3 linked regions of the Drosophila melanogaster genome follow. The protein of the gene in region 1 purifies or fractionates together with the protein of each later gene. This does not show direct contact. Each region holds a gene or a part of one and is shown on either strand. Other genes may lie near its edges. The genes, in order: orb, rin and CkIIbeta.

What was found.
Region 2: the proteins of orb (region 1) and rin purify together in Drosophila melanogaster (affinity purification with mass spectrometry; 2 studies listed by BioGRID, with this or other methods). This does not show direct contact.
Region 3: the proteins of orb (region 1) and CkIIbeta purify together in Drosophila melanogaster (affinity purification with western blotting; one study listed by BioGRID). This does not show direct contact.

What each region holds. Positions count from the first base shown.
Region 1 is NT_033777.3:23,277,581-23,282,795, forward strand, and holds the start of orb (oo18 RNA-binding protein), read right to left. Parts: upstream 3,277-5,215; 5' UTR 2,851-3,276; intron 1,979-2,850; 5' UTR 1,497-1,978; coding exon 1,479-1,496; intron 1-1,478. Other genes in the region: Cdc16 (cell division cycle 16), read left to right, coding at 3,711-3,806, 3,870-4,380, 4,435-4,717, 4,777-5,034, 5,104-5,215.
Region 2 is NT_033777.3:13,645,197-13,650,253, forward strand, and holds the start of rin (rasputin), read left to right. Parts: upstream 1-1,807; 5' UTR 1,808-2,004; exon of another isoform or gene 2,005-2,073; intron 2,074-2,186; exon of another isoform or gene 2,187-2,350; intron 2,351-3,625; exon of another isoform or gene 3,626-3,721; 5' UTR 3,722-3,872; coding exon 3,873-5,057. Other genes in the region: sqd (squid), read right to left, coding at 557-723.
Region 3 is NC_004354.4:11,790,555-11,795,692, forward strand, and holds the start of CkIIbeta (casein kinase II beta subunit), read left to right. Parts: upstream 1-1,978; 5' UTR 1,979-2,132; intron 2,133-2,159; exon of another isoform or gene 2,160-2,191; intron 2,192-2,324; exon of another isoform or gene 2,325-2,725; intron 2,726-2,888; 5' UTR 2,889-2,892; coding exon 2,893-2,964; intron 2,965-3,243; coding exon 3,244-3,346; intron 3,347-3,419; coding exon 3,420-3,611; intron 3,612-4,264; coding exon 4,265-4,454; intron 4,455-4,550; coding exon 4,551-4,632; intron 4,633-5,046; coding exon of another isoform or gene 5,047-5,055; exon of another isoform or gene 5,056-5,138. Other genes in the region: karl, read left to right, coding at 304-441, 507-630, 804-1,177. UniProt on the Drosophila melanogaster protein: Participates in Wnt signaling. Plays a complex role in regulating the basal catalytic activity of the alpha subunit.

The sequences.
Region 1 (5,215 bases):
GGTATAGACACTGCTTACACGACGAAATTGACATTTTGCATTTAGTTATTCAGTTGGGTCTATATTTTGATCTTTTTTTTCTACCATTTTGCTGCCGCCGCTGGCAGCCACAATAAAATGAGAAGAAAAATTGCATAATAACCCCTTTGAAATCGTCGGATTATCCTTAAATATTTGTGTAAACATTGTAACAAATGCGCAGCTCCATTGTCAGCCAACTCGGGCCATGGATGCAGCACAGAACCAACCTCCATCCTTCATCCTCCACCTCTGTTTCCATCTCCGCCTCTTTGAAAGCCATCCCCAATCCATTGACGTAGTCAAGGCGGCTTTTCCTCAACCCCTGTGCGTCGTCTGTCGTCAAATGCCTGAATGATGAGCAATAGACGGGTCCGGGTCTCCTGTCACAGTCGACAATGAGCAACTTTTTCCAAAGGCGGAAGACGTGGCAAGGATACAAACGGGCCGCGTAGCCAACAATGGGACCAAGTGCTCCGCCGAGGAGGGAAAGCGTCTTAAAAAACCTGTCACACATATTGACAGTCGCTTTAGGATCGCTTAAATCAAGTCTGGGGTCGGCGGGGGCATGAGCCGAGTCGTCGGGTTGGTTAGCATGTGCGTATCAGCATAAAGGATATTGTAATCATTACATGTAATTCACATTTGGGGGTGAAGGGCAATTGCCGCAACTGACATAATTTTGATGTGTATTGATATGAAGCGGATTGTCAGGCAGGATAATTAATTTTCCAGAGGATAAAGAAAAACTCAGGAAGGGACATGTAATATTTTGAGCCATAAGAGGCTAATAGCTGTCTGCTTGTACTGTCACTGGAGTTTTAAGATTATTAGACAAACTTTTACGAATCTTTAAAGACATAAAAATCTGGATACTAATGGCAGTTGTAAAGCGTGCCCAACAACTTTAGCTCTGTTTTTTATCCGCTATTCCAATGCTTCCATTTGCTCTCTGCGCTTTTTCTGTACCGCTCAGTGTCCTAATCGAATCATCTCATTTAAGTGAATTAAAAAACATATAAAGGCGAGCAAAATTAAATCACGCAACTATTTTGCGCAACAAAGAGTACAATTAAAAGCCCACCCGGCGGCAAAAAGGACGAAAAGGAGGCGCAGTGGTGTCTGGCGCAGAAAACGCCGCAAGTTTAATCGAATTTAACTACTCATAATGTGCAACAGACGTTGGCGGATGGGGCTGTTTCAGTGGGTGGTGGGGTGGTTTGAAAAACTCTCAGAAGTGTAGGCGTAAAGTTGGGCACTAATCTTATTAGGATCATCCCGGGCCAGCCACTCACGAATCCCAATTGGGAAGATGAACTGAAAAAGCCAGCTGATGTAGAGCTCTCTCACTCGCTCGGTCGTTCTCTCTCTCCCTCTTTCTCTCTAGCCGACTTTATTCGTACGTGAGCGTTTCAATTACCGCTCTGGAGTGCGAATGGGTTTTATTATTATTTACATACCTGTTGCAGCAGGGGCATTGTTTTGAATAAAAATTCCAATTTCCACACTTGTTCACGTTGCGCTCCTTGTTCGTTCGTGCTCGTTCGCGTTCGTTCGTGTTCGGCAGGAGCAGCATCCGCCAACTGACAAAGCGGCAAAACAGATGTCACCACTTCCGCCTCTCGTACCTTCCCTTTCCCACTCCCACTGCCGGCGGAGAGCCCGTTCGCGCACCGTCTCTCTCGCCCTCTCTCTTTCACTCCTGCGCAGGCCTTTCGGTTGGAGTTCGCTGCGGTTCGAGTCCAAGTTCGTGTTGGATCTGGTTGGAGTTTGAATTGGATGCCGAGCCTCGGGCAAGGAATCTGGTTTTTGTTGTTGTTTATTGGAGCTCCACAGGATAACGCGACTGAGCGAGCGAGAGGGGCGAAGGCGAACCAAGACAGCTGGCAGATGTGGCCGTATCAGCAGCAAATAGTCATCGATTCATTCCGCCTCGTCAACGATGCAAATTTCCAAAGGCCTGAAATATCATAAGCATGAATTAATTATAAGAGTACTCTTCTTTGTAGTTTCCAAATCAGTGGAGTTTAAAGAAAACACACGCGTACGCACTTGAGCGTTAAATGCCGTAAATCGATCAAGGCGTATCCCTCTCTCTCCTACTCTCTATGACACTGTCCCGGCTAACTGTAATTAACTGTAATCCAGGGTCGTTTACTTTAAAGGGGGCTTTTATGGCCGCCAATAACACAAACTATGCATTATCCTTTCGGGTGGTAATCCTTTCGGAAGCTGTGTGTTGAGCGAACCTATTATTAGAGCCATAAATCAGCATGAAATGAGCAGTGGCAGCGAAGTTGGAGTTGTAAAATGGAGATGGAGATGGGGCCAAGCCCTGTCTCGCCCTTTCTCTACTCTCTCCATCTCACTCTCGCGCTCTGTGCGTAGAATAATGGGTAGTAAGAATAAGTGTGCACACAGAAAGAAAAATTGCTATACTTTCATGAATTGCACTGTTATTCATATTTCTTTTCAATTGATACCGGACAATCCAAAAATCTATTATTGTGCACACCTTACATTTTATTAACGAATTAAGACCCCGCGCAATTCCAGCTTCATTTCCTCTGTGTGGCCAAGGCGGCGATTGATTGCCGTAGTTTTTGGAGAGATGACGTGAGCCAAAGGCAACAGAAAAAAAAACAGGACCAACGGCACATAATAGTAGTGTGTAGTTGTAAAGTTGTAAAATACGCACGTCGAGAATGAGAGAACGAAAAATGAGCCGCTGCCCTGTTTTTCTTCACCTTCTTGTTACCAACTAATTTGAACTGCACCATTTTTCGGTCAACAATTTCTAGTGCCGGCTAACACTGATACACCAATACATACCCAGGACTCGCAAAAACACGCGGATGGCGCATAAATTCGTGTGAATTTTATTTTAATTCCGCACTTGCAATCGCATCCCGTTTCTTTTGTCGTCCACCAAGCACATTTTTACACACACTCGCACACACGCCGCCAGGAACCGTTACTTCTGCTTTGCACGCCCTTCGCCGTTTTCCGTTTCTCCTTCCGATGCTGTTTCGCCAAACTACTCACTCACGGACGCATTTTTTACTATTAAACTATTTTGATTGTTGAAAATCTTTGCGACTGTGGTATGGCACCACATTAACTCGAATTTAAAATTGAGCCTTAAATTTGAGCGGACCCTGCCGCGGCAATACAAATTAATAGAACAAACTAAATTATCATCCCGTGATATCTTTTATTTTGGAATTTTAGTCGGGATTTTTTGATATTATGGCCACGCCACGGCGTGCAACGCTGCTTAAATAACCTTTTTCGCCTGGCTCTGTCGAACCAACCGCATGCAACCGCTCTCTTGAACTTAAAAGCGCTCATTTGTTTGAAACAACTTGTGTTCGACGATTCCTCGACAAAAAAAGAAACAGTCATTAAAATTCGCACAAATGGCTGAACTATTTAAATAATTTATTTAATTTGTATTTTCATTTAAAGTTTTGGTTTTAAAATAATTTTTATATTTCCATTAATTTTATTACTTATTGGTAAAGCATTAACAGCAACCAAATTTTTTTCACTGGCGTAAACAACTGTTTCCAGTGAATGGCAACAATACAGCTGTTTTGCACAGAGTTGCCACTATGTTCAAATGAGTTATTACCAGCGGCGGAAAACTTGTATCAAATTTATAACAAAAATACAATTCTGCGTTAATAAAAATGCCCGGGGACACGGAAAACACAAGCACTGACACCACCAATGAACACATCGACCTGGCCTTGTACCGGCAGCTGGTCAAACAATTCATAGACATGGTAAGACAAAAAAACCAAAAGCCGGCAAGCAGAGCCTGAGTGCAAATTCAATTGCATTTTTAGCGTCGCTACTCCACAGCGCTTTTTTGGGCAGAAAAGGTGGCCGTGCTTGGTGGCCTGGAACCCAGGGATATTTACTACCAGGCGCAGTGCATGTACCTACTGGGGGAATACCATCGTGCTGCTCACACAATACAGCATCACAAGCTAGAGAAGAATTCACTGCCATGTTTTAACCTACTACTGGAAAGTCTCTATGCGGCCAAGGAGTTTACCGAGGCGGCCAATGTCATCCAGAATGTGGAGGTGGAAGTCATGACCACATCGCTGATCAACCAGCCCGTTGATGCAAGCAGTGGCTGCTATCTGGAAAGCAACAGTGTCTTTGGTGGCGAGGAGAATCACAGAAATGAACTGCTCTCATCCATTTACCTAATGAAGGGCAAAGTTTATGAGGCCCTGGACAATCGCGGCATGGCAATGGACTTCTATGTTCAGGCCCTTCACAAATCCATATACTGCTTTGAGGCCCTGGAGGCGCTGGTTCAACACGAAATGCTGATGGCTTGGGAAGGTGAGCATGCACCTACTTTCTGAATACAGTATAATCTCAACTTAATCATTGCAGAGTTTGAGCTAATGCATCATTTACCGCTGGCACAACAATCCAGCGAAGCTGATGCCAAGTTTATACTAAAACTTTATGAATCTCGCCTGAAGAAGTACTACGAGTTGATTTCCGCACGCAATGCTGAGGAGATGTCCCCCATTGTTAATCCTGACATACTCCAGTTTATCAAGGAATTTACAGCTCGAGTGCAGCAGAGCGGGTCGTCAGACACACAAATGCCCAAGGTGAGCGCCGTCAAGGTGCCGCTTACGCCCAGCCAGTTCATGTCGCCCGCACAGAAGTCAGTTCTCCTGATATTTCTAATATTTAGCGCATTCTTATTGAAGTTGTATCTTTAAGAGTCCTGGAAGATCTAAAGGCGCCCACATTTTCCCTACAAACTAGTCTCTCAAAGGCTTCTTCCCTCATTGATGCTTCTCACCGGTCCATGTTTGACTCATCCAGTAGGAGGCGATCGCGTGATCATGACACGGACACATTAATTCCTATCGCTGAATGTCTTGATCGGGTACAACGTAGTACTGACCTAATGGCCGCTGAGGCGGAGAAGTGTTTCTACGACTGCGACTACAAACAGTGCCTGAAAATACTCAATGAGTAAGTGAAGAACGGCGTAAAAGACTTATATTGATCAAAAATGTATTTGGTTTTGCTTATCATATATAGACTCCTTAAGGTGGATCCCTTTCATAACACTGCACTGACCATTCAGATTGCCTGTCTGGTGGAAAACGGCGACTTTAATCGGCTATTTTACGTAGCCCATAAGCTGGTGGAC
Region 2 (5,057 bases), 9.6 Mb from region 1:
AACATAACTTTTTCCAACGTTTTTTTTCGCCACATTTTTTGCAAGTGAAAGGCAACCGTATGATTTGTGTTCGTATGCGTCACAGTGTGTCTGTGGGGCAACGTGGGAAACAAACATAACCTCACAAAGGGGAGAAAATGTGCTCCTAGCTTAAGAAAACTCTGGTTTTCATTGCGGAAAGTGCGTGTGTGTGCAGGGGAAAACGTTGAAAATTTTCCATGTCTCCCGAGACTGTGATGATGCATTTTGGCCCGAAGATTCTATTAATATGACTGAAGTACAGTCGCACCGACACCTCACACACACACACTTAAACACACTCCGACGCACGAGCGCAAGCGAGAGAGAACACAAAAGGGGTCAGACTTCCCCCGCAGAACCCCGTAAAATCCAATGAAACTCGACCAACGACGTTAGCTTTGCATTTACGTAACAGAGTAGGCAATATACACTATGTAGAAGCAGAAAATCTATGGGGGGCACATGATCATCGGTTGCCCGTTGCAAAAATAAAAAAGAACAAAAAAAAAACGTATCCGCCGGATAATGGACATACCTGTCGTCGTCCCGCTGGCCGGATGCGGCCGATTGGTTGTCCGAACTGCCGTTGGTCGAGCCGGCGGCGCCCGCATCACCATTTTCAGATCCCGGACCGTCGGCAGTCACGTCCTTGGTGAAATCCTCGCCGTTTATTTCTGTATCCACTTGCTTGTTCTCGGCCATTTTGTGTGTTTTCGACTGATCTACTAATTTCGGGGGCTAGGCAGCACGATATTCGTTTTTTACGCAGAGCCGGAGATTTTTATACACACTCGCCAAAAAGTCGCGCGTACGAATGAAATGACGACCGGAAAATGATAAATGCAAACGACAGCGTGTGTATATGGGTGCGGCGTTGCCACCTTGATGTTTTCCCAGTCAAGTCGATTTGGTATTATTTTGGTAAATATTTGTATTGTATTTGCTTGCTCTACCTGGAGATTGTTAGCTATACATTTGCCAAGGATTAAATTGGGATTTTCTGTACGATACCACCCCAAATAAGCCTATATAAGGAGCTAAATGGGCGCGTGACTTGTCTGCTTGCAGTATGGCAGCTTTGATTTATACAATGTACACACACCTATGAAGAGAAAATGAAAAGAATACCAAAAATTTTATACAAATATTTTAAAGCCCAGTTTACACAATGGACAAGTTACTTGGTTTATAAATTCATTTTAGTTGTATTAAAGGTTTAAATATTTAAATAAATATTAAGTATTTCATAAACATTTATAATTTTATAAATATAAAAAATACAATGTTCATTATTTACTATGTGTTGGGAACGAAAACAACATTTACATACAAAGAATTGTTTAAAATCGAATTTTCATATTAACTTCTTATAGGCTGAAACATCAACAATATTTTAAATCATTTAATTGGTTTATATTAAATATTTTTATTTTTTGCAAAAATTTATACAATTTTCATATTCGGATTTCCCAACAGGTTATAATATAACGTTATTATGGTTTTTATTTATTTGCTATATAAAATGTTTCCTTTAAAGAAAGGTGTTTCATGAGCTTACTCAAAAAATCGGAAATGGCTAAAATGAAAATAAGTTTTATAAAACTATTTAAAAGAAACTTAGCGCCCCTAAAATGAGCTTAATTGAGCTCAAATATGAAAATATCAAATTCATCAAAATATTCTATGGAACATACTAGATTAACCACCCCAAAAAAAGAAGTGTGTGCACACCCTTGGAAAAGCCGCCATCATTCACACACCAACACACGCGAAACCAAGAATAAAACTGTGCAGAGGCAAAAAAGAGGAAAAGAGGAACGAACGTCGGTTCTCTTCTCGATTCAACACACTTGTCCAATTTCATTGCGTTTGCGATTATTTTCTACTCAAAAGCCACAACATATGCATCGTAACTTAATTCAACAACAACTGTGATCGCCAAACATCAGAAAGCAACAAAAAATACACGTCAAGAATTGCCAAGTTAGTTATTCTCAAAAAAAAAGACAAAAAGAATTGCAACAAACTAGACTAGTGTGTGTGTGTGAGCGAGTGAGTGCATTGGTGTGTGTGGCTGTGTGTTTTGTGTGCAGCTTGCAATTTTATACTGCATTTCATACGTTTCGACTATCGTTTTGTAAATTAAAAAAACCGCATAATTTCAGCGCTCCACTAAGAAATCCAACTCTCCCCGCCCCCCGCAGGAAGATAACAAAGAAAAGTGCTACAAAAAGTGCCGATTTTTCGGCAAACTTCAACCCAAAAGCAATACACACTGTGCATTACAAAAAGGAAAAATAAAAACGAGGAAAAATATCGCTTAAAAAAGGTGAGCCGGCGACGGCCTCGTGTGCGCGGTCTAGAAAAACTAGCATTTTCCATTTTCAAAGGGGTGGCGCATACTAGGAAAAAATCAACATAAAAAATGCTAAATGGGCGTATATTTTATTATTGCGGCAGGGCTCTATCTCTTAAATTTTTTTTTTTACCATTTTAGCGGCTTTTTTTATTATCGCTTGTGCATAACCTAAAAATGTACGAAAAATTTTGTTTTTGTACATTTTTGTTTAAATGCTGCTCTTCAACTATAGCTTTCTTTGTTCTTCCTACACACGCGGTTCGCAAGCAGAAATAGAGTGGGAAAGAGAGAACCCGAAAGAGCGGCGCGTTCATAACCGAATATGTGTGCGTGTGGGTTTGCCGCAACTCATTGTGCATTTTTTGTTTTATCGGCAAATGTTTATGGCTAAAATGGGGCAAAGGACACCTGCAAACATTGATATTTACTTACACCTTTTAACGCTATTTCAAGTGTTTTTGCAAGGCAGCAATTTGATATTTTGGCCAAGCTGGAGTTCATTGTATGCGGCGCCACAACCTTGAGACCCGAACATAACCTCAATTTAATTCATGCTCCTCGCTTGGCGGCTTCTTTTTTTTCTTTGCCAAATTGTATGAGGTCATTTACTCGCGCACACACACACACGTGCAAAGTTCAGTCAGCCAGGATCGCAGGCATAAAAGCTGGAGCACGTGCAGGGTTAAATGTCCTGCGACGGCAAGCAAATTGGAATTTTTCCTGACAGCTGCACTACACCAAATTTCCCCTTTTCGCATGTGCAAATGTGTGTGGGCCCCAAAAGTGGGTCAAACTGCAGCGCGCTGCGTCTGTTTTATATGCACTGCGGTAAAATGAGCTCCCTGTTTTGGGTGTACAAACCTCCCCCCCTCCCCGCCGTCCTTGTGACCAAGCGAAACTCTAGATCCTTATTGGAGAGCACAGCAGGGGTCAACACTTTGGTAGTCAGTCACATTTCTCTAGAAATTTATGTAAAAGAAGCACAGATTGATTTAATGGACAGTCTGAAAATCCAATTAAATTTGTTTCTTATATTTGCGTGTTTTACCGTTATCAAGCCTTAATTCTCCAAATTAAATTTACACGTGATGAAATTAACTGATAACACAACTAGTGATTCATTATGGTTTCTATACTTTTACCGGCACAGGTATGAATAAGCCATCTTTGAACACCTTTTGGAGATTGTAAGAAACAGGGTAGCAGCTTCCTTTAATTTCAAATTATCAGATTGAAAAATCTACACAGTCGTCTAGGACTTTTGCCAACTTTTCTTTTTTTTTATTAAAAAAACCAGACAGATTTTCATAGTGCGCGTATATTTTTTGCACTATTTCGCAGACGTTCCCACACTCTCAATCGACACAGATCAGCCACCGTGTCGATAGATCCGAGCAGCAGCTAGAAAGAAGGGAAGCAGAAATTGGAAGCGGAGACAAAGAATCCGAGTCGAAGAGTCCGTAGTTCAGAGAGGAAGAATCAAACGCCAGCTATGGTCATGGATGCGACCCAATCGCAGCAGCCTTCGCCGCAATCTGTGGGACGCGAGTTTGTCCGCCAGTACTACACGCTGTTGAACAAGGCGCCCAACCACTTGCATCGCTTCTATAACCACAACTCGTCGTACATCCATGGAGAGTCCAAGCTGGTGGTCGGTCAGCGGGAGATCCACAACCGAATCCAGCAGCTGAACTTCAACGATTGCCACGCGAAGATCAGCCAGGTTGATGCCCAGGCCACTTTGGGCAACGGTGTGGTGGTTCAGGTCACCGGGGAGCTATCCAATGATGGCCAGCCGATGCGGCGTTTTACCCAGACGTTCGTTCTGGCCGCTCAGTCGCCGAAGAAGTACTACGTGCACAACGACATCTTCCGCTATCAGGATCTCTACATCGAGGACGAGCAGGATGGCGAGTCGCGATCGGAGAACGATGAGGAGCACGATGTGCAGGTCGTCGGTGGCACTGTGGATCAAGCTGTGCAGGTGGCCGGCGATGTAGTTGCCCAGCAGCCGCAGCAACAGCAGGCTCCTCCGCAGCCACAGGCTCAGGTCGTGGTGCCCCAGCAGGTAGCTCCTGTAGCGGCCGGTGGTGCTGCCCCACAGCAGATCTTCTACCCATTGCCAGCGGGTGCTGCCGCCGGACGTCCTGTGGCTGTTTTGCCACCAGCTCCGCAAGCCGCTGCTGTTCCACTGCCCGCGCAGTTCACCGTTCCGCCGCCACAGCCCATCCAGAACGGTGTGGTGTCGCACGAGGAGCTGCAGCAGCAGCAGGTGCTGGTCCCACCCAGCGTGTCTCCCCTGGTACAGCAGCAGCAGCCGACCGGCACGCCTGTGTTGCCCATTGTTCCAGTGCCAAGCGCGGGCTTCCAACAGTCGCCACTGGTGGCACCACAGCTCATCCAGCAGCAGCAGCAGCAGCAACCGGCACAGCTGCCCCCGCAGCAGCAGCAGCAGCAGCAACCTATCCAGCAGCAGCAGCCTTTGCAACAGCAGCAACAACCGCTGGCTGAGCCCGAGGAAGTGGAGGTGGCGCCAAGGCAGCAGAAGCCTCCCACGCCCGTCGAGGATTTCAAGACCATTCACGAGCAGCAGCAGCAGGAGAAGTACGAGGCCGCCAAGCAGCAGCAGAATGAGCCCAAGACGTACGCGAATCTCTTCAAGTCCACGTCCTCCTCG
Region 3 (5,138 bases), on another chromosome or scaffold:
TTAGCAGCCCTGACCTCTCAAATATCATAATAATGATCGTACACCAGGGTTTTTAAATACCCATTAAAAAGCACGACTGTCTCAAGAGTTATTATAAATATAAGATATGTATGTGAATCTTAACCAGAAACCCTCGCTGTCTAATGTATATATATATAGGTAATAGAAAAAAACTCCTATCATAAAGTATAATAGATCTTTATCATTATAGATTACATTATATATTATATTATACAACATTATAAAGACCTCCTCTAAATTACTTACATATCTAACTTATTATGGAACTAATTTTCCGTTTAGGTGGGAGCCATTAAGAACTTCGATTTGGAGCGCATGATGGGCTGTTGGCACGTGGTTCAGTATTACGCATCCACAGAGGAACTTCCGGAGTACGCGTGCATGCGCAGTCACTTTTCCTTTTCCAAAGAGGATCAGCATGTGAGTGGCAGCAAGGACCTTTATCCCTATTACAAATTATACCTCAATACCTCAATTTAAATTAGATAACGATGAACTTTAGCTACATATTTGCGGAGGATCCGCTGCGCGAGAAGCTCGTGGGCAACATCACCTGGATGATACCCAAATTCCAAGAGCCAGGACATTGGCAGCACACGGAGGACATATGTGAGTGATGGAAATGTTTCTACAATCAAATTCAAAACGAAAATCTATTCAAAATGTAGTTGTGATACGTTTGAAGTAGTTTGGTAATTACTATGCCAAAGAGTAATTCGATCTGCCCGGGTTTAATATATGTTTTAAGCAGTATTTTCGTTTCTATATGTACCTCCTTGCAGATGAGGGCATCTACAACACATACGTTCTGGACACGGACTACGACACCTGGGGCCTGGTGATGCACTGCGCCGAGAAGAAGAAGCAACCACGTTACCTGTCCGCCCTGCTTTTGTCGCGGAAAACATCGTTGGCCGACAACGAGATCAGCTTTCTGCGCGGCAAGTTGCCGCAGGATATCGACACATCCTTTATGTTTAACATCGGGCAGGAATCGTGCGACAATCTAATGGAATCTAGTCGCGACGATCCACTGGCCTATGTTGTGAATGGACGCAAGAGAGCCAAGGAAATCTTCAAAATTATCAATAAGCCTGACGGCAGAGTGCGCGCTAGTAGCGAAGCGAGAAGCTATGAGCAAAGCGAGAAGCTGTGAGCAAAGCGAGTCGATGGCAGAGTAAGAGCTAAGCGAGAAACGAGCTACATTGCTCTCTTTTAGTTATTAATGTGAACGTGATGGATTCGGACGAGGAATTTTTTGCATCAAGCGCAACTATTAACTTTCTGTTAAAACTGTCGTCCACCCTCTTAACTGAAATAGAAATGAAAAAGGCGAATTCAATAATTTATATAAAAGGTTATTTACAGAATGGAACAAGACAAAACAAAATAACGTGTGTTTTGAAAATAAACGGTAATATAGCGCAGAATATAACAAAACAATCGTACGCCCTGAGCGAGTTGAAGCGATAAGGCCTTGCTCTCGCTTTTTCGCTTAAGCTCGCAACTCGCTTCGCTCTCACTCTGACATCTTTCGAGCGATTGCGCTTAAAATGCATGCAGTGGGTTTATCGCTCGTTCTTGTATTATTAGTCTAATCAATCAACTAAGAGAAAATATTATACGAAAACCCGATTTATTTTGTCAATAATACAAATTTAAATAAGCACTTTCAAACATTTCAAACTTTCAACATAGTGTTACCATACAACTAAACGAAATAATACCTTAAAGTAGTTGTAAGAAAATATTGCTAGCTGCAATCGGTAAATTATTTGACAAATGGCAAAACAGCCAACTAAATGCTGGTAATAAACAATATTTTAATATTTGGCTTGATTTGCTTATTTAACAAATAATTCCGCGTTTTGTTTGGTTAATTGCTTTTCCGAACCAGTGTTGCGAAACGCGCAATCCCGATTAGCCGATACATCGCTTAGCGATGACACGGCGCCACATCGATTGGCAATCGCCTGCGGACAGCGCAGGACAGCGGTAATCGATAGTCGAGATTGCATACCTGATATCATCGTCTTCGCTACAATATTTGCCTTTACCGGTTCAGCTGCAGTACAAAAGTCGATCAATTTGAGTAATTATTAACAATTTGGGTGAGTGCTGGCCACTGGAAGATAGCCGCAGCGGGAAAAATACAGAATAGCAAGTTGGTGTGCGTTGGATTGCGCTCATCGGTGTAAAGGCGTGCGTGTGTGCACGTCCCTATGTGCGCTTCGCGGTGTGCGTGTTTGCTTGTGTGCGTGTGGTGGCCCCTGTATATGTGTCTCTTTTTTTCTCAATTTCCAACAGTGTGTGCTTCTTCTTGCTGCTCGGCACATTTTGTATGAGCGCTTGTCAATTGTCACAATACGAGTATAAAAATTTATTTTTATGCCCCCCGACCACACGAATTTCAACGGTGCGATCACCGAAAACTAGTAACATTGTACAAGCAACGCGAATTAAACGGAAAACCGAAAACAAAAACCCCAAAAGGCCAATCCAACCAAAAAAAAAGAGGAGGAAAGAAGAAAAAAGCGGAAAAAGAGAGTGTGGTTTGTGCGAGCAACAAGAAGCGGAACCAAAAGGAAACGTGAAGAAAGCAGGGGGGGTGGGGTAGACAAGAAAGTGCCAAGATTCCGTTCCAAGATATTTTAACAATAAATTTCGCACGCCAGCCCAAATTACGCAAAATAATCCCCTTAATGTATGTAATAGTGCGTGAGCGTTTGTCCCAGTGTGTGTGCCATGATTGCCTGTGTGTGTGAGAGTGCGGTGTGCATGTGTGGTATGCGTGTGCAGGATAATTTGTCAGCAAAAAAAAAACGATGAAAATATGAATTAGCAACTCCATTCGCTTATCTTTGCAGCAAAATGAGCAGCTCCGAGGAAGTCTCCTGGGTCACCTGGTTCTGTGGACTTCGTGGCAATGAGTTCTTCTGCGAGGTGAGATATCATCATCATATCAGCATCAACGACGAATTACCCGCGTTCTTCGCTGTAATCGCGTTATCTAAGCGCGCGCTATAAGTGCAACAATTGCAAAGTGCAGCCCTCAATCTCTGCCTTTGCGCGCGCGTGTGTGTGTGTGTGTGTGCGTGTGTGCCGCAAGGTGGGGCAATACCGAGCCCAACTGTACACACATGTCCAGATAACACACGATATAGTGGATATATGACAGTATATTCCAGTACAGATCCTAATTGCATACGCTTTTGATTCCAGGTGGATGAGGACTACATACAGGATAAATTCAATTTAACTGGTTTAAATGAGCAGGTACCCAACTATCGGCAAGCGTTGGACATGATCTTGGACTTGGAACCGGGTAAGTTTAGAATGGGCTGTTACCCATATCCAAAATTGTAATGTATATAGCTAATGCGCCTTACCATCCACAGAGGACGAGCTCGAGGACAATCCACTGCAGTCCGACATGACCGAGCAGGCCGCCGAGATGCTCTACGGCCTCATACACGCCAGATATATACTAACAAATCGCGGCATCGCTCAAATGATCGAGAAATATCAAACTGGCGATTTCGGACATTGTCCACGTGTCTACTGTGAAAGTCAGCCCATGCTGCCATTGGGTGCGTAACCAGATCCTTGATCAATCGCTCTTACCTATAGCTAACAAACATAGTTGCGAATCTTTCTGCGCGTAATTGATTGTAATCTAAAAAAAAAAAAAAAAAACAACATATCTACGAGGAACCTCGTGCTTTTCTGCCTAGTAATTACATAGCCAGAAACTATCAACGCGATTATTGGCACAACTTCTAATTGAGTTTCCTGAATAGCATATCATTGGGGCTTTCCCATGAAATCTTACACCAAGAAAAAAACAACGCATTCTTAATAGAAATTCTACCTTAATTGTCTGGCTTGGCTTGCCCTAGTTAAAACCTTCGCAACGCTTCCCGATCTCCAATAAATTCTTACCGAAACTTCCCTAAACGTTGTTAACGATCAAATAAAGCAATGCTGAATCAAATGCATGCACAAATGCAAGATAGGGTTTCACTAAACAAGGTCCCTCAATTTCTGTGAAAATTAACTAGGCCAAAGTGGCTAGACGAGCCTTGTAAACATTTCTGCTATTAATGATAAATGATCATGATGGATATCATGTTGAGTTAAATCAGGTTAAATATGTTTGTACCAGATTTCACCGATGAATTCTGACTTTTTCTAGTTGCTAGTTGCTCTGCCAGTGGTCTAATCCTTTGATTATTATCCTCAGGTCTGTCGGACATCCCCGGCGAGGCAATGGTTAAGACCTATTGCCCCAAGTGCATTGACGTGTACACACCAAAATCGTCGCGTCACCACCATACCGATGGCGCCTATTTCGGCACTGGATTTCCACACATGCTCTTCATGGTGCATCCCGAATATCGTCCCAAGCGTCCTACTAATCAGTTTGTTCCAAGGTAAGATTTATACCCATTACTGTATATGCACATTGTTAATATGCTCTTTTGTTTTATGTGCCCGATACGACGTCAACTTGATCATCACATACATAGGCTATATGGATTTAAAATACACAGCTTAGCTTATCAAATTCAGCTGCAGGCAGCAGCCAATTTTAAAATGCCACTACGAGCGGTAAATTTAAAACTTAATAACTAGCTATTAGTATCCTTTCCACCATTTACCCCACTCTCTCATCTTTTTTTGTTGTATTTTATTTTGGAATCTAAAATTCTATATATTGACTAAAAAAAACACAACGCCACCAAGGGATCATTCAACTACTAAGCATATAAATATATTATATCTTTTTTATTTGTTTTCTCTCCCCACACATACAAAACCACCAAACCAACCACCACCACCACCACAAAAAAAAACCAAACCAAATCAAATCAAACATCCATAAAATCCGATCGACAACCTGAACCTGAATATGATTATGAATACAATCATGTCTCTGCCTGTCTGAATAAAACCAAACATAAAACCAAAATATCGATATATTATCGATCGTTCCAATCGATCGATTCTTAAAATTGGGTGTAGAAAAACTAATAAAATAAATACACCACCAACAACAACAAATACTACAACACAAACACATACGCACGAATACAACAACAAACAATCCATTTAAC